Tamandua tetradactyla: one gene and its partners. The protein of the gene in region 1 interacts with the protein of each later gene in a pairwise test. Links are inferred from orthologs where the notes say so. Each region holds a gene or a part of one and is shown in the gene's direction. Other genes may lie near its edges. The genes, in order: TRIM41, TOP3B, GPATCH2L and CHD2.

Region 1 (7,430 bases):
CTCTTGACGGCAGCAATCTAAATGATTAAAGAAATAAAATGCATTCAAAGTATATGAGCTTAGACTGTATTGTTACCAAAATGTAAAGTAAATGTAAATAATCAAAAATTGAATAATATTATATATGTTTTCGAGAGTTATATATTTGCTCTAAATTATGCAACATTATCTGTTGAGAGAGGGGAAAATTGAATGAATATAAAATTTTGTCAGTCATCTAAGCGAAACTGAAAATGCTATTACATTGAACATCTCAGGAAGTTGTTTTTATGAAAATAAAACATCAATCCTAGCGTTCCACGGCCAGTAGAAAGAGCTGGGATGAAGCTGAACTCAGTTTGTACCTAGATCTACATACGTGCGAAATTGAGCGTAACAGCAATTGTTCAAAACTGCAGAATTTTCTCTTCTTTCACGCTGATTTCCGAGCCCAGGGGGAGCCAGAGATCGGAAGAGGGGTTGAACTCTCCGGGACTGGGACCCCGGCTGTGGGCGACCCGGGAGCCCCTCTACCCCCCGCGCGGCGGAGACCCCTCCTGTCCCAGTTCAGCGGTCCGAAGCGGCGCGTCCCGGGGCTACTGCCCGGTCCGGGCGCCCCGGCTTCCGCCCCGGCCGTTCCCGCGTCGTCCCGGCCCGGACGCAGTCCCCTCACACCCTTTGCTTGGTCGCTCCTGGAGGAGTCCCTCTAAAGTGTAAGTCGGAGCGAGACCCCCGGCCTCGGTGGCCCCCTCCCCACCGAAGAAAAGACCGAACATCCCAGGAGGGTCCAGCACGGGCTCGTGGGGCGTCGGAACCGGCGCTCGCCGACTCCTGGTGGGCACTTACCCCCACCCGGCCGGGCCAGAGGGCGGCGGCGGGAGGCCTGGACGAGAAAGAAACCAGGACCGGCAGAGATCGCAGCCGAACTCGGACCGGCGAGCTGTCGGTGTTGGGAAACAGGAAAGAGGTCTGCCCACTCCGGCTTCTCAAGCCAGGATCTGTACTGACTTTCCCCCCCACTCCCAGTAAAGGTGTGAGAAACGGCCCTGAAACCACACTTTGCAGGTAAACCCGTTGGCAAGAGAAACGCCAAAGTCCGGACAGCCCGAACAGCGGCTCGCGCAGCCCCGCACCCCAAGCACAGTGACTCCCCTGGGACCCCGAGCCGGCAGCCCGGGAGAGGGCGCACCCTGCCCAAGCCACCGCGGAGTGCGCCGCCCCCACGCCCCCTAACGCGGAACCGCTCCGGGCAGACCTCTAATCCCGCGTCGGGGCTGCGCGTCTGCGCTCGGCCAGTTTGACAAACCAGCTTTACCGGATCCGCAGTTTTCTCCCGCGGTCTGGCGTGTCCGTGGGGAGACGTCGGCGGTCGGAAGACGGAAAGCTGGACATGCAGGACCAGGGCCCAGCGCTCACGTATGGAGGGAGCCTACCTGAAGCGAAGGCAGAGTTTCGGGACAAGGCCGGCAAACCGAGGATGTTCGTGTTACCGGGTTTCGAAAAAAAGGCAAATTCAGCCCTGGGTGGGGGTGGGGGTGGGGGGCAGTGGGGACCGGAACATGTGGGGCGACGTTTCTTAAAAGGTTAGCTTTTTTTTTTTCATTGTTAAAAAAAAACCTATATACAAAAAAACCCCAATACATTTCAAAGCACACCGCAATCCTTACCTGTAAGACAGATTTCAGAGTTTGGTATGTGCTGTGGTTCCATAAAAGGTTGGCTCTTAGAATCAAGCACTTAAAGAGAATTGAAGATGAGGGTCTCGTGCGAAACAGAGCACCTGTTCCTGCCCAGGACTTGGAAACCGGACACCGGGCGCCGAATCCCAGCCACCAAACCACTTAGGAAGACCCTTGAGTATCCGAGTTTGGATTCAGATCCGTTGGTATGGACCTGACACCCATGAATGCAGTGCTGGGGATGCCGCCTGCCACCCAAGGCGTCGGTGACGGATCATGCACCAGTCCACGATAACACGAGTAGCCGGTAAACAGAAGGCACCCAATAGGCGTCGGATGTGGGTGAACGGGTGGACGAATAGCAGCAGGCAGGACAGTCGTGGGGGAACAGGCAGGCAGGAATGCGTCCACAGGTATCCTCACTCTTCACTGACTCGCTTTATTCTGTTTCCAAAAACTTAACTCGCCCAACGTGGGGCTCGAACCCACGACCCTGAGATTAAGAGTCTCATGCTCTACCGACTGAGCTAGCCGGGCGGTCGTGGTGTTTTGATTGTTCCCTCCCTAGAGACCGAGTTCGACACGCGAGACTGCAAAAACACCGCCCCCCTCCACCCCCAAATTTTGCAGGATTAAATATGTGTGTATTTATGGAGCGCCTACTGAGCGCCCGGCTCTGTCTTAGGCGATCCAGAGGAAAGAGCAGACTAGCTGAGGAGCGAGGCCTGAGTCCGCATCGCGTGCATTTATGCAGCGCCTACTGTGAGCCACCTCCGCTGCGAGCCTGCTTCGCACGCCGTCTCCCCTAGAGACACTGACACACACCTGCAGAACCTGCCGTTCTCCGTGGGTGGTCTCCCCTTTCTTTCCCAGGGCGCCCGGGAGATGAAATGAGGCTGTGGCCGGTGGAAGTGAAGACTGGAGCAAAACCTTGTTTCCGCCCGGTTTCGAACCGGGGACCTTTCGCGTGTGAGGCGAACGTGATAACCACTACACTACGGAAACCTCAGCGGGCGAAAGCGGCACAGCGGCGCTCTGAGAACACCCGGCCTGTGGGGCCGCCTTGCGTCTAGTCCTCTAGCTCGGTTCCTCCCGGCGCGGAAGCGCACGTGGCCAGCACCCACGCGAGCGGATGCGCGCCTCCGGCTGGTGTGGACGAGCCTCCGCCCGACGTGGGGGCAGCTGGCGCACAGGAGCCCCGTGGCACCTCCGGGCGCGCGCAGCCGGAGCTCAGGCCGAGCACCTAGCTTGCCGCCCTCGAACTTCTCCCGAAGGTGGTCTTTTCTAATCACACAGGTCACGTCAAGCGCTACCTCTGCCGCACCAGGGGTCCACGCGGCAGGGACGCGCAGGGGCCCGCAGAACCGTCTCCAGCAGAGCCAATCGCGCGGTCCTGCGTGCACCTGCGCGGACCCCCAGGCCCTGCGCATGCCGGAGGCGCCGAGCGGCGAGGGCACGGCCGGCACTCAGAAGATTGAGCGTTTGCTTTGTTTTTAGGTGACACCTTCGCTGGCTTCGGAACTCAAAAGCACACGGAGGGTTGTCCTTCCTAGCCCTGGCCTTCGGCCCGCCGCTGCTTTCCCGGACGGTCTGTGCAGAAAGGACGCAGGCGAGACTAGCCCGCGCCGACACGGCGCGCTTACTGAGAGGTGGGCAGCATTGTAACCGCTTCACGTGACCTTAATCCTCACAAACTCCGAGGAACGAGCGCTTACCCTCGCTTTACATGCGTGAACCCACGTACAGGAATATAAATATGCCGACTGCATTTAACATTTGTCCTCCACTTTTTTTTTTTTTAACAGATGGCTGCATACCCTACACACTGTTCCGCGTTTTGCTTTTTTTACTTAATACATCTTGCAGCCTGTTAACCCTAAAGGACACCCAGGGCTCTATCTGGGACTCTCCAAAGGTTCCATGCACTAAGCCTACTTTCCTGAAACCTACAGTCTCCAGATCACCCTAAAGGACACCCAGGGCTCTATCTGGGACTCTCCAAAGGTTCCATGCACTAAGCCTACTTTCCTGAAACCTACAGTCTCCAGATCGGTCCCAGTTTAGGTAAGTCCTGAACCGAGTGCCCAGCCTCTCCAGACATCAACTAGTCACGTCTCCCTACACATATTATCGACAGCCCCTTTCAACATGAAAAGTTAGAATGGGCAGAGCCTAAATACCCTAAAGAGTGGGAGAAGGATCAAAGGAGAGGGAGGAGCATAACAGAGAAGGTAGGATTTTAAAAATGAGCATGACTACTGAATCACTATATTGATATTTCTTTTGGTCTCTAGTTTCTTGGAGCAGCTAGAAGGAAAAATGAAAGATCCTGGAACTGTAACCCACACCAAACTCTGAAATCTGTTGTGTAACTACTTGTTAACATATACTTTGAAAATTTTTGCTTTTTAAATTTTCTATATGTATTTCACAATAAATAACTTTTTTTTAAAAAAAAAGGAATACATGTTGCAGATAAATTTCCTTTCTATAGCTAAATAGTGTTCCCTTGTGTAGATGGGCACGTAGGGCTTTGTCTCCCTTCCTTTACTGATGGGCATTTAGCTCAAGCAAACGCTGCTGCAGCGACTGGATGGGAGGTTTCTAAAACACGAGCGGACGTCTCCCACGCGGGGGCGGAACGGCCGCACCTCACGCACTTCCCCAGGCCCCGCCCCCTGAGCCGTCACCTAGAGAACCTCCGAGTCCTCCAACAACAAAGTCCTCAGCCTAGAGCGGCCGGAAACGCAGCCGGGTTCTCGCCCGGGCTCCGCCGCCCCCCGCTTCCGGCAACGGTCGTGGGTTGCCCCCTCAGCGGTCACCCATGTCCGGCCTGTAGGGTCTCGCTCGGCCGATGCGGGCGTAACACCCGCAGAACGTCGGCCGCCAAGCGTTCTCATCGCCTCCCGAAATTTTTGTCCAGTTGTGGAGACCCGGGAAGGGCGATCCTTCAGTTCCCTCTGCGTTCCCGGCTCTCCCGCAACACAGAGACGGGGACCTTTCCCCTCCCAGGCCTCCTGCCCTATTCCCGAATGCCTGCTAGAGCGCCTCCTCGCCGCTTCCTGTCGTTCGGGGGCCCGGAGAGGAAGAAAGGGGTGTAGTGGGAGCGGTGCAGAGAACTCGGGAGCCTGAGTGGCGAGAAAACGCCGGAAGTGTTGGGAAGAGGGCCGGAAGCGAGGGGGCGGGACCCGGAAGAGAGGAGGGGGCGGGGATTTCTTAGGCGGCCAAGGGAGCGTTGGGGCAGATTTGCACTCAGGGCCTTCGGGGGCCTTTAGCTGTGGCGCTCCGCTCTGTCCCCTGCGCTTGCAGGGGACACGGCGTCGTCTGGGAGTAGGGAACTCTTGCGTGGAGGGGTGGGCTTTCGGGGGAACATTTCTCTCGCTGCGGTCGGGGCCAACTGTTGAGAGGCAGGGCTGGGGGTGGGGCCGGGTCGCCGGGCGCCCGCGAGGGAAGACCCCCCCGACTCCTCAGCCCCCCACCCCACATCTACACTCGCTGACGGGACACTAAGATGGCTGCCGTTGCCATGACACCCAACCCCGTGCAGACCCTTCAGGAGGAGGCGGTGTGCGCCATCTGCCTGGATTACTTCACGGACCCCGTGTCCATCGGCTGCGGGCACAACTTCTGCCGAGTGTGTGTGACCCAGCTGTGGGGCGGGGAGGATGAGGAGGACAGGGACGAGTTAGACCGGGAGGAGGAAGAAGAGGAGGAGGAGGAGGAGGAGGAGGACGGCGAGGAGGAGGAAGTGGAGGCCGTGGGGGCCGGCGGGGGTTGGGACACCCCCATGCAGGACGAAGACTACGAGGGCGACATGGAGGAGGAGGTCGAGGAGGAAGAAGAGGGTGTGTTCTGGACCAGCGGCATGGGCGGGTCCAGCTGGGACACTATGGACTACGTGTGGGAGGAGGAGGACGAGGAGGAAGATCTGGACTACTACTTGGGGGACATGGAGGAGGACCTGAGGGAGGAGGACGAGGAGGAGGTGCTGGAGGAGGACGAGGAAGAGGAGCTAGACCCGGTCACCCCACTGCCTCCGCCTCCGACCCCTCGGAGGTGCTTCACCTGCCCCCAGTGCCGCAAGAGCTTTCCCCGGCGTAGCTTCCGCCCCAACCTGCAGCTGGCCAACATGGTCCAGGTGATTCGGCAGATGCACCCAACCCCTGGCCGAGTGAGTCGTGGGAACGAGCAGGGCGTCTGCCCCAAACACCAGGAAGCCCTGAAACTCTTCTGCGAGGTGGACGAAGAGGCCATCTGTGTGGTGTGCCGAGAGTCCAGGAGCCACAAGCAGCACAGCGTGGTGCCGCTGGAGGAGGTGGTGCAGGAGTACAAGGTGAGCGGAACCGGGAGGGCGCGGGGCTGAGCGGGTGGAGAGGAGGAAGTGAGGGAGCTTGGAAAGGAAACAGCGCGTCCCCCTGACGACCTCGTGCTGGTGAGCTGATTCTCCTGGGGTAGGAGGGCAAGGACTCTACACAGACAAAGGAGAGGTGCAGTGAAGGCTACCAGGAAAGACCGTCTCCCTCAAAGAAAGTGGGGCAAAGCTGGTGATGCTCCATCACTGGACTGAATCGGCTGGGGAGCAGGCCACTGCGGTTTCGCCCTTTCACTGTCCCTAAATATAGGATCGCAGGTGACAGGTCCCTACTGCTTTACCACCAGACCCATTTTCCTTGGGGTAAATCTGAAGTCTGTCCTTGACTAAGATTCCCGGAGACGGGAAGAACTTGGGCAGCCAAAAAACAAGGAATGGTTCGAAGCAGGAAAAGAGAAGTGTCTGCTAGTGCCAGACCTAAATGCCCCGCATTTACTTCCTGAGTAGGACTCCCCATCCCGTGATAGGGCTTGGTTCTCCCCCTGAGGACCCTTGTTGGTTCTGTATAATTTTTACGTACTGACCAGAACAGCTTCCCTTCGCTGGTAATGAAGTTTGAAAAAAGAGAGAGCAAGTGAAAGAGGCTTTTAAGTTAGACCTGGCTCTGCCAGTTAACTCATCTTCAAATCTCTGATAAGTCTCTGAATCTCATTAAACCTTTCATTTCTCCAGGATGAATAGTTAATATTTAGTGAATGCTTGCTATGTATATCAGTCACCATCCTAAACATTTTTCATGGACTGTCTCATTTAAAACTCAGAACAGCTCTGTGGGTTTGGTTACTGCTTCCATTCCCATTTGACAGATCGGGAAACAGCCAGAGAAGTTCAAGTAACATGCACAGGGCCACCCACTCCCCACCCCCAGCCTCTGTTGATAGCACCTGCCACCATGGTGGTGGTTAGTATGATTTTTTTCTCACATGTGATCCGTCTCCTTGGAGTCTGAATGTCTTGCCCCCTGCTTCTGACCCTGACTCCTTCTGGACATAGGTAAAGGAGATGTGTCTACCTGGCAGCGAGAACATTACGTAGCAGGGGATGGGTAGGACAACTTGGAGGAGAGGATGGCGTCTTCTGTGTCATCCGCACAGTGCTTTTTTTTTGTTGTTAGCATTATCCCAATTTTACAGGAAAGCATCTAGAGCTTCTCAGCTGTGAGAGGTACAGCTAAGACAAACACACATCCCCTCATTCCGTGCACATGGTGATTGATAAACTGGCTGGTCATGAGAATTCCTAGAGGAGCTTTTCAGTGGTACAAGGGGCCCTTCCACCAGGGATTCTGAATCGATGGTAGGGAGGTCTTTGGAAAGCTTCCCATAGTTTGAGAATCATTGTGTTGTTAGCATTGCCTGCCTTTTGGGCCATGCATCCTTGGGAAGTTGTGAGCTCCTTCT
Region 2 (7,650 bases), on another chromosome or scaffold:
AGTTGTTCTCATACATCAGGTCATAAACATTATCTTAAAATGGATCAGTGATGTAAATATAGTAGCTAAACCCATAACATTTCTAGACGATGACAGGAGAAAAGCTACAATGGCCTTGGACATGGTAGTGGATTCGTCAACTTTACACCAAGAGCACAAGCAACAAAAGAAAAAATAGATTAATGGGACTTCATCAAAATTAAAAACTTTTGCCTATGAAAGGACATTTTTAAAATATTTTTATTATACACAACGGACCGACATACCAACATTATTGACATACGAACATTCTTGACATGGTTACAATCAGTGGGTCACTATATTATCACATAGTTGTGTCACCATGATCATTTTTAGAATATTTGCATCACTCCAGAGAAAGAAATAAAAAGAAAAAAAACAAACTCATACATCCCACACCCCTTACGTCTCCCTTTCATTGACTACTAGTATTTCAATCTACTCAATTTACTTTAAACTTTGTTCCCCCTATTATTTGTTTATTTTTATTCATATTTTTAAATTTAATTTATTTTATATTATCAAACCAAAACAACATACAAACATGAACATTCTTAACATACAAACATTCCGTATATGGTGCACAGTCAATGGCTCACAATATTATCACATAGTTGTATATTCATCACCATGATCATTTTTTATAACATTTACATCATTCCAGAAAAAGAAATAAAAAGAAGAAGAAACTCACACATACCATACCTTTTACCCCTCCCTCTCATTGACCACTAGTATTTCCATCTATTCAATAGAGTTCAACCTCTGTTCCCTCTATTTTTTTTCTATACCCCTTACCACTTCCTTTCATTGTTCACTAGTATTTCAACATACTCAATTTATTTTAACATTTGTTCCCCCTATTATGTGTTTATTCTTAATCCATATTTTTTACTCATCTGTCCATATTGTAGATAAAAGGGGCATCAGACACAAGGTTTTCACAATCACACAATCATATTGCAAAAGTTATATCGTTATATAATCATCTTCAAGAAACAAGGCTATTGGAACACAGCTCAACAGTTCAGGTACTTCCCTCCAGCCAATCCAGTACACCATAAACTAAACTAAATAAACTAAAAAGGAGATGTCTATATAATGTGTAAGAATAACCTCCAGGAAGGGACATTACTGAAAAAGCGAAAAGAACCTACAGAATGGGAGGAAATATTTGGAAACCTTATATCTGAAAAGGGCTTAATATCTAGTATATGTTGAAATATAATTCAACCACTAAAGACAAACAATTAAAAAATGAGCCAAGGCAACACAACAAGCAAACTCACCACCCTCCCCCTGTCTACGTGGGACATGACTCCAAGGAGTGTGGACCTTCCTGGCAACGTGGGACAGAAATCCTAGAATGAGCTGAGACTCAGCATCAAAGAATTGAGAAAACCTTCTCCACCAAAAGGGGGAAGAGTGAAATGAGACAAAGTGTCAATGGCTGAGAGATTCCAACCAGAGTCAAGAGGTTATCCTGGAGGTTATTCTTATGCATTAAATAGATATCACCTTGTTATCTAAGAGGAAATGGAGAGGCTGGCTGGAATGCCTGAAAATGTAGAGCTGTGTTCCAGTAGCCATGTTTCTTGATGATGATTGTATAATGGTGTAGCTTTCCCAGTGCGACTGTGTGATTGTGAAAACCTTGTGTCTCATGCTCCTTTTATCTACCTTGTCAACAGATGAGTAGAACATATGGAATAAAAATAAATAAGAGGGGGAACAAAATAAAAAACATGAGCCAAGGTCTCGAATGGACATTTCTCCTTATAAGGTATAGAAATGGCCAATAGGCACATGAAAAGATGCTCAAAATCATCAGCCACCATATTCAGTAACTGTTAAAAAAGGTGAAAAGGTGATCAGACTTCATCTAGAGGTGTGAATGAAGCTGATCTGGACAAGACTAAGGTAAATCAGAATACTGGTTAAAGAATGATATGGCCCATATTTTTCAAACTTCAACTTCTGTATGAGACCAAAGGGAGAGATGCTTATTGGGTGCAAAATTTATATTTGGGTAGCACATTATGGAAGGATAATAAAGATAATAAAATCTAATTCCCAGGGTCGTAATGAGAATTCGGTGAGTGAATATAGCCAAGTCTAGAAGAAAGTAAGCAGTGGATGTTTGCTAACTGTTACGGGCATTGATTACCAGATCATGGGCAACCTGTGCTCAGCTGGAGAGAAGAGAGAGGAAGGAGACCCCACTCGCCCTAACCAGCCCCCCGTGCAGCGTGTGAGGAACGTGAGGAAGAGGTGAAGAGACTAGGCTGTGGTGGAGACACTCCACGGCTCTGCTCCTGAAGCTCCAGTTTTTACTTATGGACTCTCCTCACCCCTTGGGGAAGGGACTCTCCCTACGAATCTGCCCCTCCTCCTTGGGGGAGCCCAGTTCTTCCTAGTGTGAGGAGAGGGACAAGCCCTTTCAGCGGAGTTGACTCTAGGCCATTACTCTCCATCACTGGAGGATGCACTTTTGGAAAGGACTTCCCATAACCCTAGAGAGTGGAGCCAAGTCTAGATGATTTGTCAACCTAAGAGCTCACAGGAAGGGAGTGGCCTGGCTGGCAGCCCCCTGGGAGGCCTATAGGGATGGCAGAGAGCACAGGACAGCTGTGCAGTTTCTCCAGTGTGACCAAGAGCAGCCCCGAGTCCTCCAGGCCTCCAAGGCTGATGTCTCAGCTCTGCCTGCTGGGACCAGGCCTCAGGTCCTCACTCCAGCTCAGCAGAAGGGGCGCCTGAGATCGGTTCAATGAGCAGAGGAGTTCTGGTTCTCCCCACCTCTCTGTCCTTCGTTTGCACTCCCCAGATCGAACCTTAGCCCTGGCCGGGTGACTGCTCCTCTATTTTCTGGAGCCCCTGAGAGAACAGAGTAGAGGAGGCAGGTGGAGACCAGGTGACCAGGGTGAGACAGTGATGTTTGGATGAGGGGTGCGGGGCAGGCAGACGGAAGTAATTGGATCTTGAATATATTTTGAGGACAGTCCTGGCAGGATTTGCGTTGGGATAAAGAGTGGGAGAGAAAGAGAAGAGTCCAGATGCCTCCAGGTCATTAGTCCTGAGCAGGATAGAGTTGCCATCTCAGGGTTAAGGAACCTGCCAAGAAGTAGTAGACTTGAAAACAGAAGTCAGGAGCTCTGTTTTGAGACTCCCTGAGTTCCCTAAGACTCTTAATTTCTGCCATTTCCCAATCTTAATTTGACCCCAGAGCTTTTCTTTTTCTAGAGTACCTCTCATGGTTGGCATTCCAGTAATGGCAGGTTGGGAGACGTGTCTACAGGAAGCAAAGAAAATGTGTGTCCTTGTTTAAAAGATATTAAAACGAGATTATGAAAAGACTTTTCAGCTTTCCAAAATTCTGATGCTCTAAAAACATAAAAGTTCCTTTAGTTTTTCAATCCTTTTTCCGGATACATTTTGCATAGTTCATTCTTTTCGTGCACCAAATGTTTGCAGTATTGAAAGAAGCCTGCTGTACACACAACTGTAGTTTGTAGTGGTTTTTTTTTTTTTAACTTTTTTTTTGTATACTATAACATATACAAAGCAAAGAAAGACAAAAGCAATAGTTTTCAAAGCACTCTTCAACAAATAGTTTCAGGACAGATCCCAGAGTTTATCATGAGCTACCATACCATCATCTCAGTTTTTTTCTTCTAGCTACTCCAGAATATAGGAGGGGAGGAGGCCTAAGTATTTTTTTATGATCACAGTCGATTTTTTTTCTTTTTTTTGTGAAAAATAACATATATACAAAAAAGGCAATAAACATCAAAGCACAGCATCACAACTAATTATAGAACAGATTTCAGAGTTTGGTATGGGTTGCAATTTTACAACGTTAGGTTTTCCTTCTAGCTCCTCTAAGGTACTAGAGACTAAAAGAAATATCAATATAATGATTCAGCATTCATACTCATTTGTTAAACCCTACCTTCTCTGTATAACTCCACCATCACCTTTGATCTTTCTCTCACTCTTTAGGGGTATTTGGGCTATGGCCATTCTATCTTTTTCTTGTTGAAAGGGGCTGTCAGTAATATGGGGGTAGGGGGATGGAACTAGCTGATGTTCTGGAGAGGCTGGGCCCTCTGCATTTCAGGACTTATCTGGTCCAGGGACCCATCTGGAGGTTGTAGGTTTCTGGAAAGTTACCCTAGTGCATGGAACCCTTGTGGAATCTTATATATTGCCCTAGGCATTCTTTAGGATTGGCTGGAATGGTCCTGGTTAAGGCGCCTATAGTTTCAAATTGTTTCAATCCTTAACAGTATGCGCTTCTCCTGGTTATTCCACACCCACTGTAATGCTGATTGTGATTACTGCCATTAAACAGGTTGATAGGTGCAGGGAAGGGTCTGGGGACCCTCCCCCCGCCCCCCACAGATTTCAGCAGAGGGGTCAGGGTGGCGGATTTAGGGACTCCCTTGCGGATCGCGGCGGGGAGGAACGTGAGTAGAGGGTTGGGGGAAAATGGGAGGTGGGTTTGAGGACATCTTGCAACCACAGCCTGGAAGACCCCAATCCGCCCAGGCTCCCGGAACGCACTCGCTGCGGAACCTGTGCGGTCCCGCACGTGCGGGCACCGGAAGGCAGATGCGAGGACGCCGGAGGGGGCCGGAACCGGAAGTGGGGGAGTCGATGGCGGTCCCCGTTGCCGGCGTGGGAGCCCGAGTCCGTGGTAGAGCCGCGGTGGCGCTGTGGGTGAGCGGCGGGCGCCCGGCCCGGGCCGCGGGAAGCGCGGGCCTCCTTGGGGCGCTTGGCCCGAGGCCTGAGTCCCCCGGGTGGGGTCTTTGCCTTCTCGCCGCCTCTTGCTTTGGGTGATCCCGGTCCTGCGCTCTTTGGGGTGGGGTCTGAGGGAAACTGAGGCTCAGGCAGGCGTGACAAAGATCAGGCCCAGGTCGGGACTGCCCCACGTCCACTCGCCGCCTCCTGGGCCGGGAGTGGGACTCGAAGGCGCTCAGGCACTGCTCTGACCTGCAGTCCGTAGTAGAGGCCGGGAGGGCCGTAGGGGACCCCAGGGCGAAAAGAATGGGGGTGGCCTCTTGCCTCTGTTGCTTCCACCTTTGGAAATCGAATGTGAGAGGCGGATCCTGCGAGTCTGCCCTGGGGTTCCAAGACCTTTAGAGAGGCCTTGGGACAAGAACTTCACCTGGCAGTAGTTTGAATTGTTCTGAGCCAAAAAAGTTAGGGCACTTACCTTCCAGGGTTGTTGGCAAGATTACATTACAGCATGCCTAGTACAGAGGAGAAGCTTGTTCTGTGTCTAGAGATAGGGTCTCCCAAAGAACATACTGGATGCTCACCTGGGCTGGCTACTGGTGTGATACAGGAATGAGAGACTCCAAGGAAGCGTTTTAGGATGAAACTTTTTTCCAACTTTTAAGGGGGATGGGAACCTCAGAAGCCCTCCCAGAACAATCTTTCCCATTTGTTGCCACATTTCCTCTCTGGCTTCTGGCTTCTCTGGGTGAGAGAAGGGGAGTCTTTTACAGCCTCACTCCTGGGCTCCCAAATTTTGGGAGGCGTCAGAGCAAAAGACATCTGGGAAGAAGTGACAGTTGAGCTCAGCATCCTAGGCAGATGTCTGGAGGCACACACCCAGGAGTGTTTTGCTCACAGGCGTGAGGAGGTCCCAGGCATGGGGTGCACACGGCATGGCGGTGGGAGCAAGGTTGCAGTGTCTATCCGGGTTGGGAGAGGCGTCAGCACAGCCACCTGATCTTAGTTTTATACTTCGGGGTGACTGTGTATTTTGTGGGGATATCCCTAAAGTATTTGCTTTAGGGGGAAAAAAAGCAATTTACTGTTTTATTCAAGGTGACTTTCTCATTCAAAGTAAACAGATTTCATTGTGGTCATACAGTCTGGGACAGCAAGGAGCAGGTTGACAGGCCCAAAGCAAGTCACCAGGAGAAATCATGAGGACTAGTGAAGCCCCCCAAGGAAAGGTGTCTGATTGGGCTTCTTTCCTGAAGGGCCTCGTTCCCAGCCCTCCTTTGTTCTTCTGGTTTCACTTTATTTTGTCTTTATTTTTAAATGTGTTTGTCTTTGTTCTTTCTCATCAGTCCCATATCTATATACACTGCCCTGAAATGTAAATGGTCAGCAGGAAGCTCTCACAGCCTGACCTCCAGATCCTGGTCCCTCAGATTTCAAACTGTTTCTTTTGAGCAGTACTCAGATGCTCTGCTTTTTGTAAACAAGCACGTGTGAGTGTGTGTATGCCCACATTTGGGATTTACCTGGCTGATACGACCCCCTTTAGCATTCGCAGAGCAAATGCATGTCTTTTTGCCAGCCCCCCTATCCCGCTGTACCATACCCCTTACCCCTCCCTCTCCTTGACCAATAATAGTATTTCCATCTACCGAATTTATTTTAACCTTTGATGCCCCTATTTGTTTATATTTTATCCATATTTTTTATTCATTATAAAAGCTATATAGTTACACAGTCATCTTCAAGAGTCAAGGCTATTGGAACGCAGTTCAACAGTTTCAGGTACTTCCCTCCAGCCACTCCAATACACCATAAACTAAAAAGAACTATCTGTAGAATGCATAAGAATAACCTCCAGGATAACCTCTCGACACCCAGCCAGCTCCAGGACACCTCAGCTGTAGGAGAGAAAGCAGAGCCTTGCTGATGCCATGATTTTAGACTTCCCCTAGACTCAACACTGTGAGCCAATAAATTCCTGTTATTTAAGCCAACCCATTGCGTGGTGTTCATTGTAGCAGCCAGGAAACTAAAGCAGTGCTTTTGGGAGATAGTGCCAAGTTGTTCCACATACACGTTGCCCCAATTTAAGTGCTACCAAATAGGTTTCAGTTTGCCTGTTTTCCCACACCCTCGTATACAATGTGGGCTGAGACTTTGGATCTTTGCTTGTGAGATGAGTACAGTCTTATCTTGGCTCTAGTTTGCTTTCCTTTTATGTGTTGTTGGACGTCATATCACAAACGGACTAATTTCCTCTTTATATAGAGGTGCCTAGAAACCAGTAAGACAACAATTGTTCTGAAAACAGTGGGTAAATTTTGGAAAGACTGTTGAGAAAACAGGAAACCAAATGCTTTTAAACATGAAGAGATGGTTCTGAGTTTTGAAGTACTTAATTTTTTGGTTCTTTTAAAATTTTTTATTCCATATTGCGATTAATTTGACAGTTCGTGTTTTCTTCCTGTTTTGTTTTGTTTTGTTTTCCACTTCAGTCTTTGCTAGGTGTGGAATCTGATCTGATGGAAGGGTGTGAAATAGAAGTCTAACTTAATTTTATTTTCCAGTCAGTTTCCCAGTTCTCCCGATACCCATCTTTTTCATATGCTCCTATATTTATAATGACCCAAAAGACAGGAAGGTTCTTAGATTTGCTTTACTCAGCCAGCAGGTATTAAATGTTATATATTAGGCATAGAGTTGGCTGGAGCAATTGCCAACAGTACTTCAGACACAGCCTCTCAGGAGACAAAGCGGTAACTAACTGTGGCGTAATGTGCAGCAGGTTTTGATAGTCCATCCTGAGAATCATGGGGCATGGGACACAATGGTTTACCCTGCCACTGGGTATGGGGAATTGTTAAAAAAGAATTAATGCATGAGCTGGGCCCT
Region 3 (6,962 bases), on another chromosome or scaffold:
AACATTTGTTAGGTGTCAGCTGCTGGAAAAAATTCTGGAAAGATGCCAGGAGGTCTTGGATCAGTTCAGAGAAGAGTCAAGGCAGGAAAAAGAGAAATGGCAAAGAACTGTGGAGATGAGAGAATGAGGAATTCATTCCTTTATCAAATGTTTACTGAGCGCCCTGTGATGTGCCATGCACCGTTTAGGTACTGGGGGACGGGGAGTGGGGGTGGGTACAAAGGCAAAAGGACAGACAATGCCCCTGTTCTTATGGAACAGGAATAAACAAGGTAACGTTGGTTTATGGTAAGTGCCATAAAGGAAATAAAACAAGGTGGTAAGATAGGAAGTACTTTAGATCATATTAGGAAGGGACTCTCTATGAAGGAGACATTTTAGCCAAGTTCTCAAACGTGAGAACCAGCCTCCCTACCCTCCAAAACTCTGTAGAAAGGTCTTAGGAGCATGACAGCATATGCTAGGGCCCTGGGATGCAGGGAGAGAGAGTTTGGCTTGCTGCACAGGGAACAGGGCCAAGATGAGGCTGAGAAGAAGGTAGGGACCAGATAGCATCTGGTTGTGCAGGCTATGGTGAGGACTTCAGTTTTATTATAAATGCAGGGAATCCAGTGAATCAACAGTAGAACTTTTTTGTTTCTTTAAAAAATGTTTTCGTGGGGAGTTAAAAGGAGAAACCTCTTATTTCTTCCCCATGTGCAAATCCTTTTTCAGTGGGGATTTCTTCATTCAACTAAGACCTTCATTCTAATGGCAAATTGAGGGAAAATTCTGTTTACTAAACTCTTTTCCTCTTCTCAGTAACTACTAATCTTTTTGGAGGACTGCACCCAGCTAGTCAGTCTTTGAGCGTCACCCACCCTCTTCCACCCACCTCCCCCAACTTCCCCTTGCGGTCGGTTCAGAACTCTTTATCATTAGTGATTTCCTTAATCATTATGTTTGATGACCTTTCCTTAGAACTGCTCATTCCCAATTTTCCTTTTTTTCCTCTTAAAACTCTGCTCTTTGGCTTCTACACATGATTTTCTTCAAATGCTCTCTGCCCCCTTGAAGCTATCCCTTTTGTCTCCTTCTTTGGCTACCTTCTTCCCTCCAGTGGCCCTGCTTATGGCTTCCAAACCACCTAAAGGTGGATTTTTAATTTAAATTTTCTCTTAAGATTGGAAGAAGTACTTCTAACTCCCTGCTCCAGCCTTTATTAACCAACAGTTGTTTTTTTAATTGACAGTAGTTACTGAGCACTTACACATGCAAAGCACCATGCCAGGGTCTGATGTGAATATGATGAGTAGACAGGGAACCATGGGTTTCATTTTTGCTAACACAGGTATATCTCCAGAGCTTAGCATTGGGCCAGGCATGTTGTCACTGCTCAGTAGATATTTGTGATTTAGGTGGGAAGGTAAACTTGCCCATAATTGACTCTAGTTCAAGGTTGAATGAAGAAAATGCTGCAATAAAGGTGCTGGCACATGCTGGAAGAGCACAAAGGAGGAGCCAGAGAATGGGAAAGAACAAGGAAGGCTTCCTGGAGGTGGCATTGGCACTGAGCCTATAAGTCATCCCAAATCCCAGGGGTGTTCAAGAAATGGCAAGTGGTCTGGTGTGGCTCAACCATGTGGCAAGAAGTAGAGGCAGATGGATGAAGTAACATGATCCAAATTGTATTTTAGGAAACTCAGTCGAGTGCCAGTGTAGAGAATGGCTTGTTTGGGAATAAACTGGAAGCAGGAAGAACAGTAAGGGGGCTGCTACATCATCAAGAAGAGAGGCTGTCTATCCAGAGGAGGTCAATGGCAGAGCAAAAGCAAAGGAGGGAAGATGGAGGCAAGATTCCTGTAGAAGTAGAATCCACTAGGTTTGACATTTAACTAGTTGAAGGGGTGTAAGGAGGAAGCAGAAACTAAATGTGGCTTTGAAACTTCTCACCTATGTAATTGCATTAGGTGATTTCCTAAAGGGAACACTTCAGAAAGGGCAGATTTGGTAGGGATTGGTGAAGAAACTGAGCTTTGTTTTGATATCTTAAATTGGAGATACTGGTGGAGTAAACAGGTGGAGCTATCTAGCAGAAAGCTGAAAATAATAGCTGAATTTCAAGAAATTTAGGAGCTCTCAGTTTTGACACTATAGGAACTAATGTGATTTGCCAGAGAATATCATCCAAGCAGAAAAGAGGGCTGAAGGCTGCAAAGACCTGTTGAACATTTCCACCTCTCTGTCGTGTGAGAGTCATAAATTCAGCATGTCCAAAATGGAATTAATCGTTTTCCCACCATACCTGTTTCTCTTCCTGACTTCTCTAGTTGGTTGAATGGTACCAACCATTCTCTTAGTCATTCAGGCTCAGAACTGCAGTCATTTTTGTCTCCTTCCTTAACTCTACACGAATTTCATTTACTGACGATCCATAAAGACAACAGTTAGGAGATAAAGCCATTTATAATGGGAGTAATTTGGACACTGTGTAGTTTATTATTTTGGTCATATTCCTAAGCAAGTTAGATTTAATTTCTTTTATACATGAAGTGTCATAGTATACATTTTTATCAAAGCATACAGCCATACAGAATGTAAACAATCATAAATCAGTGACTTTCTATGTCATTAAATAATTTTCCACAATCTCAATTTTAAAAGGCTGCAAGATATTCGATCCATAGATGGAAGTTACCATAATTTTGTTAATTAACCCTTGTAGCAGGATTTGACTTTTTCCTGTGTTTTCATTCCTCTCTATGCTGCAGAGATAAGCCTACTTATATTTAACACTTTTGTCCCCATTGCTGATTTTTACTTAGAATAAAACTCCTACAGAAGCAGAATTGTGGAGTCAAAAGGTACGAGCATTTTAAAAAGGAAATTTTTAACTTTGAAATAGTTTATATTTACAGAAAAACTGCAAAGATACTGCAGGTTATATATAGCCCACGTCCAATTTCCCCTATTATTAATATCTTATATTAGTATGGTACATTTGTCACAGTTAATGAACCCATTCTGATTCATAATTATTAATAAAATCGATACTTTATTCAGCTGTCTTCAGTTTTTACCTATCCTACACTTTAGGATACCATCTAAACAGCATTACATTTAGTTGTCATATCTTCTCAGGTTCCTCTTGACTGTGAGTTTCCCAGATTTCCCTCGTTTTTAATGACTGATAGATTTGAGGACTACTGGTCAGGTATTTTGTAGACTGTCCATTCATTGGGATTTGTCTGATTTTTTTTCTTATGATTAGACTGGGGTTATGGGCCTTGGGGAGGAAGGTATTACAGAGATAAAGCGCTATTCCTATCACATCCTATCAAGAATACTTACTTGCAACATGATGTCACTGCTAATTAGTTAACCTTCATCACCTGGCTGGAGCAGTGTTTGTCAAGTTTCTCCACTGCGAAGCAACAATTTGTTTCTGCCCCTTTTCATACTGTGCACTTTAGAAGGAAGTCACCATGAACAGCCCACCCTGAAGGAGTACAGGTACCACCTCTCTGAAGGTGAAGAAGCTGTATCAATTATTTGGAATTCTGCCTGTACGACTTGTTTGCGCTCTCCCATTTATTTATTCAATCACTTATTTGTATCAGCATGGACTTATAAATATTTCTTTTATATTTTATTACTACTTTATTAATTTTGTTGCTAAAGCCATGTTCATTTGTAATGCCCTGAGTAACTCACTGTAAAGCTACTGGGGCCAAAGATTAAACCATCTCTCATAGATAAGAATGTGGATCCATTCCCCCTGCAACTTTACACATTCTTTGTAAAAGTAGGTCAGCAAGTAAGTGCGCCGCCAACGCTTCTCCCCAGCACCCGGTTTACTGACGCCTCCAACAAAGGCGAGGACAGATCCCTGGTAATTCTCCAGGGCGGAAATGGGCGCGGTCGCAGGGCGGAAGCACCGGGTAGTGGGCGGGCCAACTGTTAGGGTCAGCCCCTCCCACTCCGCCACTGCTCCACCCCTCCGGCCTAGACCGGAAATGAGGTCAGAGAGGGAAACCCCGGCGGGGAGACTCGGCCCAAAAAGCTGTGGCCGTCGGAGGTGGCTGTGGCAGCCGGTGAGGGGAAGGAGTGGGATGAGAGGGCTGGAGTTTAGGGGGCCCGTGCCAGCAGGGATCTGGTCTTCGGGCTTTGGCTAAGCAGCTAGGGGCACCGTGGGGCCGCCGCCGCCGGTGGGAGGGGCCGTGGTGGCGGGGCCTTGCTTTTCAGGGCCCATCGTCCCCATTCCTGGGTGTAAGGGTCGAGCCGTCTCAGGGACGATAGTCCCCTCCTTTTCCTTCTCCTTTCTGTCTCTTTTGGGCCGGCGATAGCCTGAAGGCTGGTGTCCCGAGCCTTGGTCGTTCTAGCTCTCGGGGACTGGCTAGAGCCTAGGGTACAGCCCCCCTTGACACGCTTTTCGTCACGTATGCGACCATATTGCGATCCTCAACAGAGGGAGAGCGCAGCCGCCAGGACTTATAATTTTTTTTTGGCAGCTTCTGCCCTAGAAGTGCAGATCCCCTACCCCTGCTGAGCCCAGAGAAGTTGCCTCCTGTCTTCATCCTCCCTCACCTCAGCCTTCCTCTCTTCTGACCTCCTGTCCACAAGCTTCCTCTTCCTTCCTGAGCGTGACTCAGGCGGCCTCACCTCACCTTGTGTTCTTTTCTGGACCTGGGGGCTCCGCTCGTAGTGTGCACCCGAGACTGGAGGAGTTGGAATCCCAGGGTTTTTCTATCGCCCACTGCAGGCACTGCAGTGGTGGGGGCAGGAAAGAATTCTGTACACGTTCGAATAGAAGTTGTTTGATTGAATTCGCTCCATGTTAAAGTTGGTATAGTTCTGCCTGACTTTTTAAAGGAGTACTTTATCAGGGAAGTAGACTTAGACATGCTGCTCCTACTTTTTTTTTTTTTTTTAATCTGTTTTGGTCTGAGGGAAAGTTGCTTCCCAGACACAAATCTTGGCGTTTTAATCCACTTCTTATTACTTAAAGGGATGTGGTCTTTTTATGTGTGTGGCTTGTAACACTTGGAGTTTTGTTTGGTTGGTAGTTTTGGAACCAATGTCCTTATTGCTCCCACAAATGTGGCGATTAAGCCAGCAGACTGTTTTCTTGCGTTTGAATTCTCTGGCATAGGCACAGCGTGAAAACAGGTTTTAGAAAGCCCTTTGCAAAGTGTAAACTGCATGGACAGAAATATAGTCTGAGTGTGGCACCACCCAGGGATTTAAGTTCTAATTATGGTTCTGAAATACTTTGGGCTTAACAAGGGCTAGGGAAAAATGATCATTTAATTCGTATTATAATTAAACGTTGTACAAATTATGCTAGACATTTCCACTTAAAAGGGAATTTTGACAGTTGCTCCCATTACTCTCATCCCTTGAAGGTTTGTACCTGGTGATCTCTGAAGTGTGATGGTTTGATGAAAATGAGTAGAAAAATAGGAAATTTTAGAAGTCTTAGAGAGTCCACTTCATTCCTATAATCTTATTTCAGTTATATCTTGTTTTTGTATGACTGTGTGGTGCTAAAACAGTTGATTAGGATGATTACTAATTTATTTTTTGAGGGATGGGGAGAAGAATATAAAATCTGTTAATTATTCAAAAAATGTATGACCCACTCTAAGGTGCTATACCTGGTAGCTTTCAGGTAGTAGTTGGAACCAGAAAGGTGGAAATTTAGCCTTTTTTTTCTTCGGTTATGAATATAAACCTGTTTCATTACAAGTTTTTGAACCACTGAAACTGTAGTCTTTAAAATGTCTTGCTAAATTGTCTTTCTGTTCCCTGCCACATGCATTCTCTCCAGTAATCCAAGACTACAGAAAAATCGTTCATCGTGTTCAATATCATGGTGAGACTGGGTCCTATCCTATGTTACCCCAATTTTGCTCCTGTCTGATAAGACATTCTGTAATCTTTTTGTGTATCATCATCAAGTAATTCAATAAGTTTAATGGAGGAAAAGAGAAAGAGCTATTGCTCTGGGTTTGCTTGTTTTTCTTAATACTCCAGTTGTCTCCTGGTGAGCATTTGTGTTTTTGTGGTTAAGAATGTGTTGACTTTAGGTATTTAACAAGGGCCAAACACTATCTTTAGTGGCTTAAAGGAGCATGGATAGTAGGAACAAGGTCTAAATGTTAAAATGGCTTTATTTTCTATAGACAGTAGACTCTGGTAACATGATCTATTTTATAAAATTATTTTTAACCATCAAATCCTATTCAGGCTTTCTTTTTTCTTTTTTTTTTTTGAACTTCTTTTTGGCAGATGTTGCCTCATGGATGAGTTGGTACATGACTTGGCCTCAGCCTTGGAACAGACATCTGAACAGAGTAAGCTTGGTGAGCTGTGGGAGGAGATGGCCTTGAGCCCTCGGCAGCAGAGGCGGCAGCTTCGAAAAAGAAGAGGCCGGAAACGTCGTTCAGACTTCACTCACCTGGGAGAGCATACCTGCTGCTACAGTGAGGCCTCTGAGTCAAGTCTGGATGAACCCATTAAGGACTGTCGAGAAGTGGCCCCAGTCACTAATTTTAGTGACTCTGATGACACAATGGTAGCCAAAGGGCACCCAGCTCTCAGTGCTGTTGTTAAGAATAAGCAGCATTCTTGGCATGAATCTGACTCCTTTACTGAAAATGCTCCTTGTCGACCACTCAGGCGCCGGCGGAAGGTGAAGCGAGTGACATCAGAGGTGGCTGCTAGCCTTCAGCAGAAGCTCAAGGTGTCAGATTGGAGCTATGAGAGGGGCTGCAGGTTCAAGTCTGCTAAGAAGCAGCGTCTCTCCCGCTGGAAAGAGAATACTCCCTGGAACTCATCGGGCCATGGGTTGTGTGAATCAGCAGAAAATAGGACTTTCCTAAACAAAACGGGAAGGAAAGAAAGAATGGAGTGTGAAGCAGATGAACAAAAACAGGGCTCTGATGAGAACATGTCAGAATGGTGAGATCTCCCTTACTGAG
Region 4 (7,857 bases), on another chromosome or scaffold:
GGAAAGAGTCCTTATAATATTTATAAAAGAACTTAAAATTTTGTGGTATAGTAATGCTTATAATAAATTTTATGTAAATTTGCCATTGGATTATTGGTTTGTGGTTTTCTTCGGTACAGTTGGGAATTTAGATTAAATGACTCAAATCGTGCCATAGATTATGCTTACATTTCAAATTCTAGGTGAATATCATTTTCATTGATTGTAATAATCTAATTCCAGTTTCAGTAATTACTACAAAGTTGTGGTGGTCTTTAATTTGATAGGCCAAATGGATAATTGATTATATTTTCCCATTATACAGAAACAAGGTATAGTTCAAGTCAAAATTCTTTTGGATAAAAATTAGTCATACTGTCTTTATGATTACTGTCAAATACCATAGTGTGCATATCTGTGATCAATACATTGCAATATTTGTTCTCATTGGTGGAGTGAAGTGCTTGTCTTTGTTTAAATTAAACAGTGGAATTTTGGATTTGATTTTGTTACAAAAGCTAACCTTTTTATAGAGTGTACAGAGTTGAGATTGTGCTTTGATAATGGATTTTATATTTACCTAGATTTAACATTGTTTTTTAGTATGACTAAAAAAGAATGGATTCAGTGAGGGAAGGAGATGATTCTTGCAAGTTATATTGTGATAAGGAAGATAGATTGGATTTTGGGGGCATGTGACTGTACTTATACTTAATTTTACTTGTTTGATTGAGGAGTTTTGTGAAAGGGTGTTGAATAATTGCTTTCTTTTGGCACAATAACGATTTATTTCCATAAATCTCATGTTTTTAATATTAAGGAGAATTTGCCCTGGATCATTATTTTGGTAACTTGCCATCAGATATGACCTATTTTTATTTACTTGGAGTTGTTGAAATGGGTGTGTAGATAAAATTGGATTCGAAATTCGAGAGAAGAGTTGGGATATGTGTGTTCTGTTGATTTTTGGGGTGGAGTTTCTTGGGTTTGTGATGGTAGGTCCATACTCTTGAATTTGAAGAGTTTTGTTTTGCTTGAATCAGTAGGGAAGTAAATATATTGTGGTTATGGGAATTTTTTGTGGGTAATGTTTCCAAGGTTATATAACGGGTTAAGGAATTTTGTGAAGAAAAATTGAAATTCTTGAATTAAAAGCTGGTTGCATTAGCTTTTGCTCTAATGCAATTGAACACTAGGGAGGCGCTCTTGAGTTGTAAAAGTTACCCCTTTCTTCCATTTGGGATGGAAATTTCCCTTTAAACTTTGTCTTTAGATGATTTTTAGGCATTATAAAGAAGTGAAGACTTGAATTTTAAGAAATTGAGGTTTGCTTTTTGTTTTTTTTTAGGGGGGAGTCATTTTACCCATGGAGGGGGTAATATTTAAAAAGATTAGTATTAAGGCTTAGCTGTAGATTCTGTAGGAATTATCCCTCTTTCAAAATGGCTTGACAAAAACACTACTTCCTGTCCAGAGAGGAAGTTATTTTAGCTCAAGGACTGAAATATTTAGCAGATCTTTAAACAAAAGGAACAAATTACATTTCTCTCTGGCTTAAAAAGGGTGCCTGAGCAAGAGGGGGTTAAGAAGCCCTTCCCCCTTCCCTTGTTGGGGTAGTCTGGAGGGGCAGAGAGGAGTGGGGGTGGGGGTCCTCTGGCTCCCTGGGATGGAGGATCTTTTTTCTTTTTTTTTTGGTAGAGATGAAGGGGTGGGTCTATGGTACATCACCTGAGTTGTGGGGTAAATGTAGAGAGTGTCAATCAAAGGCAGAGCTCTCAGAGCTGGGAAGGAGGCTCTAGATGGCGGCTGTGCCTTAGAGAGAGCGCGCTCTGCTCCCTGTCTTCGCCTCACTTTACGCAACTTTCTCTAACTTTCGGGCAACCTCAGGGGGCCCCCGCAGCCCCCTGCCTCTCCTAGGGACTTGCTAGGGTCGATTTGGACCTTTTTTAGGGAGAAAAGCAGCTTTTAGAAGCTTTCTTTTCGTGCCTTGTTGGAAAGAAGCAGCCGTACTGAGAGCCCAGGTCGTTGTTTTTTCCAGCTTAGAAGCCATGGCGCACCTCCATTTTTGTGCGCTCTCCTAATGGAGGTTTTTTTTCCTTCCGGACCTGTTTTAGTATTAATTATTGCCTTTTTTTTTCGGTCAGTTAACATTTTGAGGATTATTTAATTTATTTTTCGGTTTTAAACGGAGGATTTTGCTTTTAATTTTAATTTCTTGGGATCTGCTATTTTTCTACTACTAGATAGGACTCTCGCTTTGGACCTATTACATGGATCAGGTAAGTTCTCGATCATTAGTGATAATTTTAAAGACATATGTTTTAAGTTTGCTTTATTTTCTGTAAATATGAGAAATTCCTGGATGACGCAATAAGATACAGAGATTGTTATTTGTATCCAGTGTGTTACTTTGGAGAAACTTTCCTTATTGATAGTGATGCTTCCCCTATACAGTTTATCCTGCCTTTTTTTTTAAAGGAAAAAATAGAAATATGTATATGTATTGGTGTTTACCGTTGTTGTATTACAGCAGTATCGTTATATCGTCAGGACTTTGCTCCTGATGATTAAAAAAACGATAGAAGCCGGGACCTTACCTTTCTTTCAACTTTTGACAGTAAATACCTGGGCACAGGACTTCAAAGCAATCACAGATTTCCCCTCCCCCTTAATATTTAAGAATTAAAAGATGATGAGAAATAAAGACAAAAGCCAAGAGGAGGACAGTTCGCTACACAGCAATGCATCGAGGTATGAGCTATCAACTTTATTCCTTTTTTCTTTTTTTTTTGGTGGGGGGGGAACCGCAGCTTACATTGTTTACTTTGACAGACATGGATTACTGTCTGTTTTATTTTAAGTATTTTACTAATTTGGATTCATTTTTTAAAGCATGACCTTGAGATTGCTAATATGCCACACCCTAATTTTTTGGTAGCAATTTATGAAAGTTGAGTTGTGACTTAAGGCCTCTTACAGCAGTCAAAAGGTAGGGTACCTTTATTCAAGGGGGCCTGTCCTTTAAATGATGCTTTTTCTGACAATAAATTTCAGTTTTTAGGTTTTTTTGTGCTGCAGAAAAATGACCTTGTCGGTTTAGCCATTGCTGCATTGCACCATTTTACATACAAGGCAAATTTTTTCTTTGAAGAATCTAGGATATCCAAACTTGTAACTGAGGGCCATAGAGGAGCCTTGTAGTAGTAAATTATAGTAAATAGACATTTGAGGAAGTTACATGAATGAAAAAATGTACATGTTAAAAAGAAATTGCCAAAAGTATCCTTTGACTGATGTTACTCAGTTCATATTTTTATTTGACTCTGTATTTCTTTTGATACAGTTGACATTTTAGGAAATTTTGATATGATTTCTCAAAACCTTTACTTTGATGACTACAGTTTCTGTATTTATGAAATCAACTCTGTAATCACAAATCCTGGAATTCTGTTGGTATTCTTCTGTTTCTTCTGTTACTGTGATTATATCAATAACTGTATATTTTTACGTTTGAAATATTTTAAGATTTGCGTTTGTATGGTTTATATGCAGACAGTGCTTTCTGGTTGGTAGATGTAGTATTTTATCCTCACATTTTAGTTGTAGATGCTTTAAAATTTTATTGATTTATTTCGACAGAGTCATCTGGAATGGTTTATCTTCTGAAGCTTTTTAATGTACCATTTGTTCAAATAATATGTTGCAAAATCTGCTGGAGTACCTTGTTAGTGACCAAGTAATAAAACCTTTAAGATGATTTTGTTGTATGATCTCTGTATATTAATTTTTAGGATAAGGCATTTCTTGATTTATGTTCTTAACAATTATTAGAACTATAAATTATAAATCATACAATTAACAAGGATGTGATTAGTTATGTGATTTTTCCTCCCCATTTTGCTTTTAGTTTTATAATTTTATTATACATTAACTTATTAAGCTAGTGAATTTGAAAGTTTTGAACTTGGTTTGCTTATTGCAAATGCTGAATTTTATGTTTTATTACACTTCATAATATTTTGACCCTTCTTTTGAAAATGTTTCCAAATTCTTTTGCAAATTGGGTTGCACACAGTTTGGAATGACTCTTTTGACTGAATTGCCCATATATTTACCTAGGTTATATTTAGGACAGAAAACATCCCGGTTAATCCTGAACTGATTTCTCTAGAAAGTAAGGGCCATTTGAAGAAACAGGAATCACCCTCCCCCACCCCCAGGTGTAAAATTATTAAAGAATACGATACCTAAAATTATAATACCCTTGCGTGCATGATTTGCATAGTCTTACATGGGTTTTTGCTTTCTTATACAAGGTTTGTGGTTAACGTTGATCAGGTTATGCTTTCTAATTAAAAAATCAAGCAGTTTTCCTTTTTTTGTTTTTGTTTTTTTCTTTTAATATTTTTACCTCACCTGAAAAATGTTTGCAAGTTGTCATTCATTTACCTACTAGCAGTGAGGTAACAGCTGAACAAGAAGAATGTGCAATATTTTTTAATGAGTTTGTCAACTATACTTTGAATCTTATACCCCTAATGAATGTTCAAAAACATGAGACTCCATGAAGAGAAGATGGAGTTACTTTTAAGTTCCTGTTATCAAAAATTGGGTACCTTAATACATGTACATAATTATGACATCACTTCCTTTAAAAAATGTAAACCTGGAGGATGTTAGTGGTGTTTTACTGTAGTAGATTAATGCTATTTCTAGTGAGCTGTACTTGGTTTCTTACTCCATCAGTGTCTCCCAGTTAAAGTAGTTTCTATGGCCCAAAAGAAAGTGATTAGGAAATACTACAAAAATTATGTTTGCAGTCTGAGCTACAGGATAGTAAAGGAGTTGGCAGGTCAAATAAACTTTGATTTGAGATTCCTTTAGAATCTGAAAGGATTTTAGTGTAAATTTTGATGTTTTTTTCCTGATTTTGGAAATAGTGCATTTTTTTTTTAGGTAGTAAGTGGTTATATGTTTGTATTCCTTTGCTTTTTTGTACGCCTAATATGGTATACTTTGTATATGATTTCAGAAGAGTGAAAAGTTCACTTTCAAAAAACGTGATTTTTAAAATTTGGTGTCTGAATTTTCTAAATGTTTTCAACAAAAGATTCGCTATGTACAAGTAAATGTCGAATACCACACGAAACGGATTGAAGTTTGGGGGATAACTTCAGTAATATCAAAGGATGGAAACGGGGAAGAGGAATTTGAATTTGGAAAGGTGCTTGTGTGCACACACAGACTTCCGTGTGTTCTAGGACCCTACACTTGAAATTTGTCCTAAGAAGTGAAACCGTTTATGAAATTTATCTCGAAATTGTCTGCTTTTGAGCTAGATTTATTTTGATAACCTGAGGGGCGGGTGAAATCGTCTGCTTGTCACCGGTCATTTAGCAGTTATTCTAAAAAGCTGGGGATGATTAGCAGTGGCATAATGCAGTTGCTTGTGGGCTGTTAAAGCAGAGGGGCAGCCATTTTATGACACTGTTAATTCTTAAAACGGAACTTCGGAGAAGAAAAATAAAACGAAGTCTGAGAAACAGAAATACCTTTTTATTTGCCTCCACCTCTCCCCCTTTTTGGTGCTCTGGTGCTGAAATAAAGGGAAGGTCTGTAGTTAGAATAGGCAGCAGAGCAACTCCGTGAGCACTGGCATCTTGGTGCAGGTCCAGCTCAGTCACAAAATGGCTGTTCCTTTGTGCCGCAGCGCTGACAGACATACTGCATTGCACTGTGTACTCGGCAAACAGCAGGAAGTTGCCGTGTGGAGTTCAAAGGCCGTTCGGCGCCGGTGCTGGCCTCTGATTGGCTGTGCGCGGGCCTGGTAACAGCTGGGTCAGTGGTGCCGCTCTCGGGCAGGCCCCGCCCTGTGATGTCAGGTTCCTCGCCGCCGGGAGGAGCGAGCGCGTTGACGTCGCGTCCCGGCTACTTCCTCTCCCTGCGCAGCGAATCGGCCGTGTGGGGGGAGGGGAAAGGAAGAGAATCTGCTTGGGACTTTCCGGTGGGCGGCTGTCGCGCTGACCGCTTTTGCCCTCGGCAGTTCTCCGCCCTTCCCCGCGCTGTAAACGCCCCACCGCGATTGTTTGCCCTTCTCTGAGACTGGTTTTTCGCTATTTGAAGGGCCATGTGTTTTCCGAGAAAAAGTAAAACGCACTAATCGGAAGCTTTCGATAGGAGACTTACTAGTTTTTACGATTTTCGTTTTTCTTTTACATTTTACCGTTTTTTTCCTTCGGTGCGAAGGGATTAGTGAATTTAGTTGATTTTGTTCCTACTGAAAAATCGTTTAATTGACAGGGAATTTTTTCTTATTGAGACATCTTAACGGGTATTTCTTAATACATGGCTCATAAACAAAGGAAAGATTATTTGAACTTGCCCCCGTGTATTTTTAATTGGTTCCATACATTTTCTCATTTGACATTTGATGGAGAAAATCTCAGGTCAGTATGTGTTAAGTGATTTATTTCAAAGATTCACGATGAGCTGGTCAAAACAGTTTTCTATAAAGTAAGGTTAATTGTAAAGTGACAGCATTAGGCATTCTTTACTGTGCGAATAGGCGTCAGAAGACAACTCAAGCTTTAATGCCCCTTGCTAAAGAAGAGCGTCTTCCAAAATTTGGCTGTTAGGGCAATTATTTGTCAAAAATCTTGAGAAACATCTTTTCAGAGTCCCCATACAGGAGATTTTAATTCAGTAGTCCTGGTGGTAAACTGTTGTTTGTACCTTTGTGGTTATGCTCAGTCTGAAACCCCCTGCAAGGATTTCTGGTCAAAAAATGTTTACCAACGACTAGCTAACGACTCTGTCACAAGTAATGAATTTAAACATAAAACTGCGTTTAAAACATGAGGAAAAAACGATTAGTGAATTTCTTTTTTGTATGCTGAAAAGTTTTTTCGATGTCATCAAAGTGTTTTTAGTGGAAACATGAATAAATGTCATGTAGTATGCCATGGTTCAGACTTCTTAATTTTGAGTAATAGATATTATGAAAAGTGTGGACCTCTTAAGTGTTAGTAGAGGTGTTTACCGGACAAAGGTGGGAAGATAAAAATTCATTGCAGTAGTTTATGTTTTAGGTTCTCATTGTCTATTATTTTTTTGGGAAAAATTCTTTGTATGGTTTGTGGAAGCTAGGTAAAGTATTGTGGGGTTTTCTTTTTATAGAAGTGTTTGTGAAAGATTCCCTAAGTGTTGGCATTTCCTCAAGTGTGGTTATTTATAAAATTTCTTCCATTGTTTTAAAATAACAAACTTCCATGGGGACAAGTGGTTTTTGAACTTGAGCTTTGATCATTGTTTGTAGTTCTTGAAGTTCACCTACTGCAGCATGAGCGAAGGTAGTAATCTCTTCCCTTTTTTGTGTATTAGGAGAGACTAAATTTTGGTCGGTTGTATTAACATTTTAGTAATTGCTGAATACTCTATACTTAAAGTGGGGTAGGAGTTAAGCATTGCAGTCTCGTTCAAGAGAAGGATATAAATTATTGTCTATGAAAGACGTTTTAGTTCAAAGTAAATATCTTTACTACGTAATTAAAATGCATACCATGATAGAGCAGTTTATCTAGGAATTGCTTGCAGTCCACTTAGAACCAATTAGCTTTTTATAAGAACGAGTGTTTATTAGGTTTGTTTTGAGCCTTCTGCTTATTTTTCAGAGAACAGCAGAAAGTGGCAAGAAAAGAGCATTTGATTGATATCTATTTTGTTTTGGGTTCTTGCTGTTTTAAGCTCTAAAACCTGTAGTTTCCAAATGGTACTTGGCTCTTGGGAGATTATTAGCACCTTTTGTAAAAATTAAACTGAAGGAGGTTGGGCAGGCATTATTTGATAAAGAGTTTCAGTTGTAAAGCGTATAAAATTTGT

What was found.
Region 2: the proteins of TRIM41 (region 1) and TOP3B interact in binary tests that used the Homo sapiens proteins (3 or more experiments, as listed by UniProt). The two-hybrid records come from large-scale screens. The link is inferred for Tamandua tetradactyla from reciprocal best matches to the Homo sapiens genes TRIM41 and TOP3B.
Region 3: the proteins of TRIM41 (region 1) and GPATCH2L interact in binary tests that used the Homo sapiens proteins (3 or more experiments, as listed by UniProt). The two-hybrid records come from large-scale screens. The link is inferred for Tamandua tetradactyla from reciprocal best matches to the Homo sapiens genes TRIM41 and GPATCH2L.
Region 4: the proteins of TRIM41 (region 1) and CHD2 interact in binary tests that used the Homo sapiens proteins (3 or more experiments, as listed by UniProt). The two-hybrid records come from large-scale screens. The link is inferred for Tamandua tetradactyla from reciprocal best matches to the Homo sapiens genes TRIM41 and CHD2.

What each region holds. Positions count from the first base shown.
Region 1 is NC_135346.1:3,322,717-3,330,146, forward strand, and holds the start of TRIM41 (E3 ubiquitin-protein ligase TRIM41), read left to right. Parts: upstream 1-4,413; 5' UTR 4,414-5,169; coding exon 5,170-5,991; intron 5,992-7,430.
Region 2 is NC_135331.1:25,990,339-25,997,988, forward strand, and holds the start of TOP3B (DNA topoisomerase 3-beta-1), read left to right. Parts: upstream 1-4,638; 5' UTR 4,639-4,740; intron 4,741-7,650. UniProt on the Homo sapiens protein: Releases the supercoiling and torsional tension of DNA introduced during the DNA replication and transcription by transiently cleaving and rejoining one strand of the DNA duplex.
Region 3 is NC_135338.1:35,427,922-35,434,883, forward strand, and holds the start of GPATCH2L (G patch domain-containing protein 2-like), read left to right. Parts: upstream 1-3,945; 5' UTR 3,946-4,073; intron 4,074-4,082; exon of another isoform or gene 4,083-5,854; intron 5,855-6,270; 5' UTR 6,271-6,280; coding exon 6,281-6,942; intron 6,943-6,962.
Region 4 is NC_135338.1:91,296,512-91,304,368, reverse strand, and holds the start of CHD2 (chromodomain-helicase-DNA-binding protein 2), read left to right. Parts: upstream 1-4,845; 5' UTR 4,846-6,324; coding exon 6,325-6,425; intron 6,426-7,857. UniProt on the Homo sapiens protein: ATP-dependent chromatin-remodeling factor that specifically binds to the promoter of target genes, leading to chromatin remodeling, possibly by promoting deposition of histone H3.3.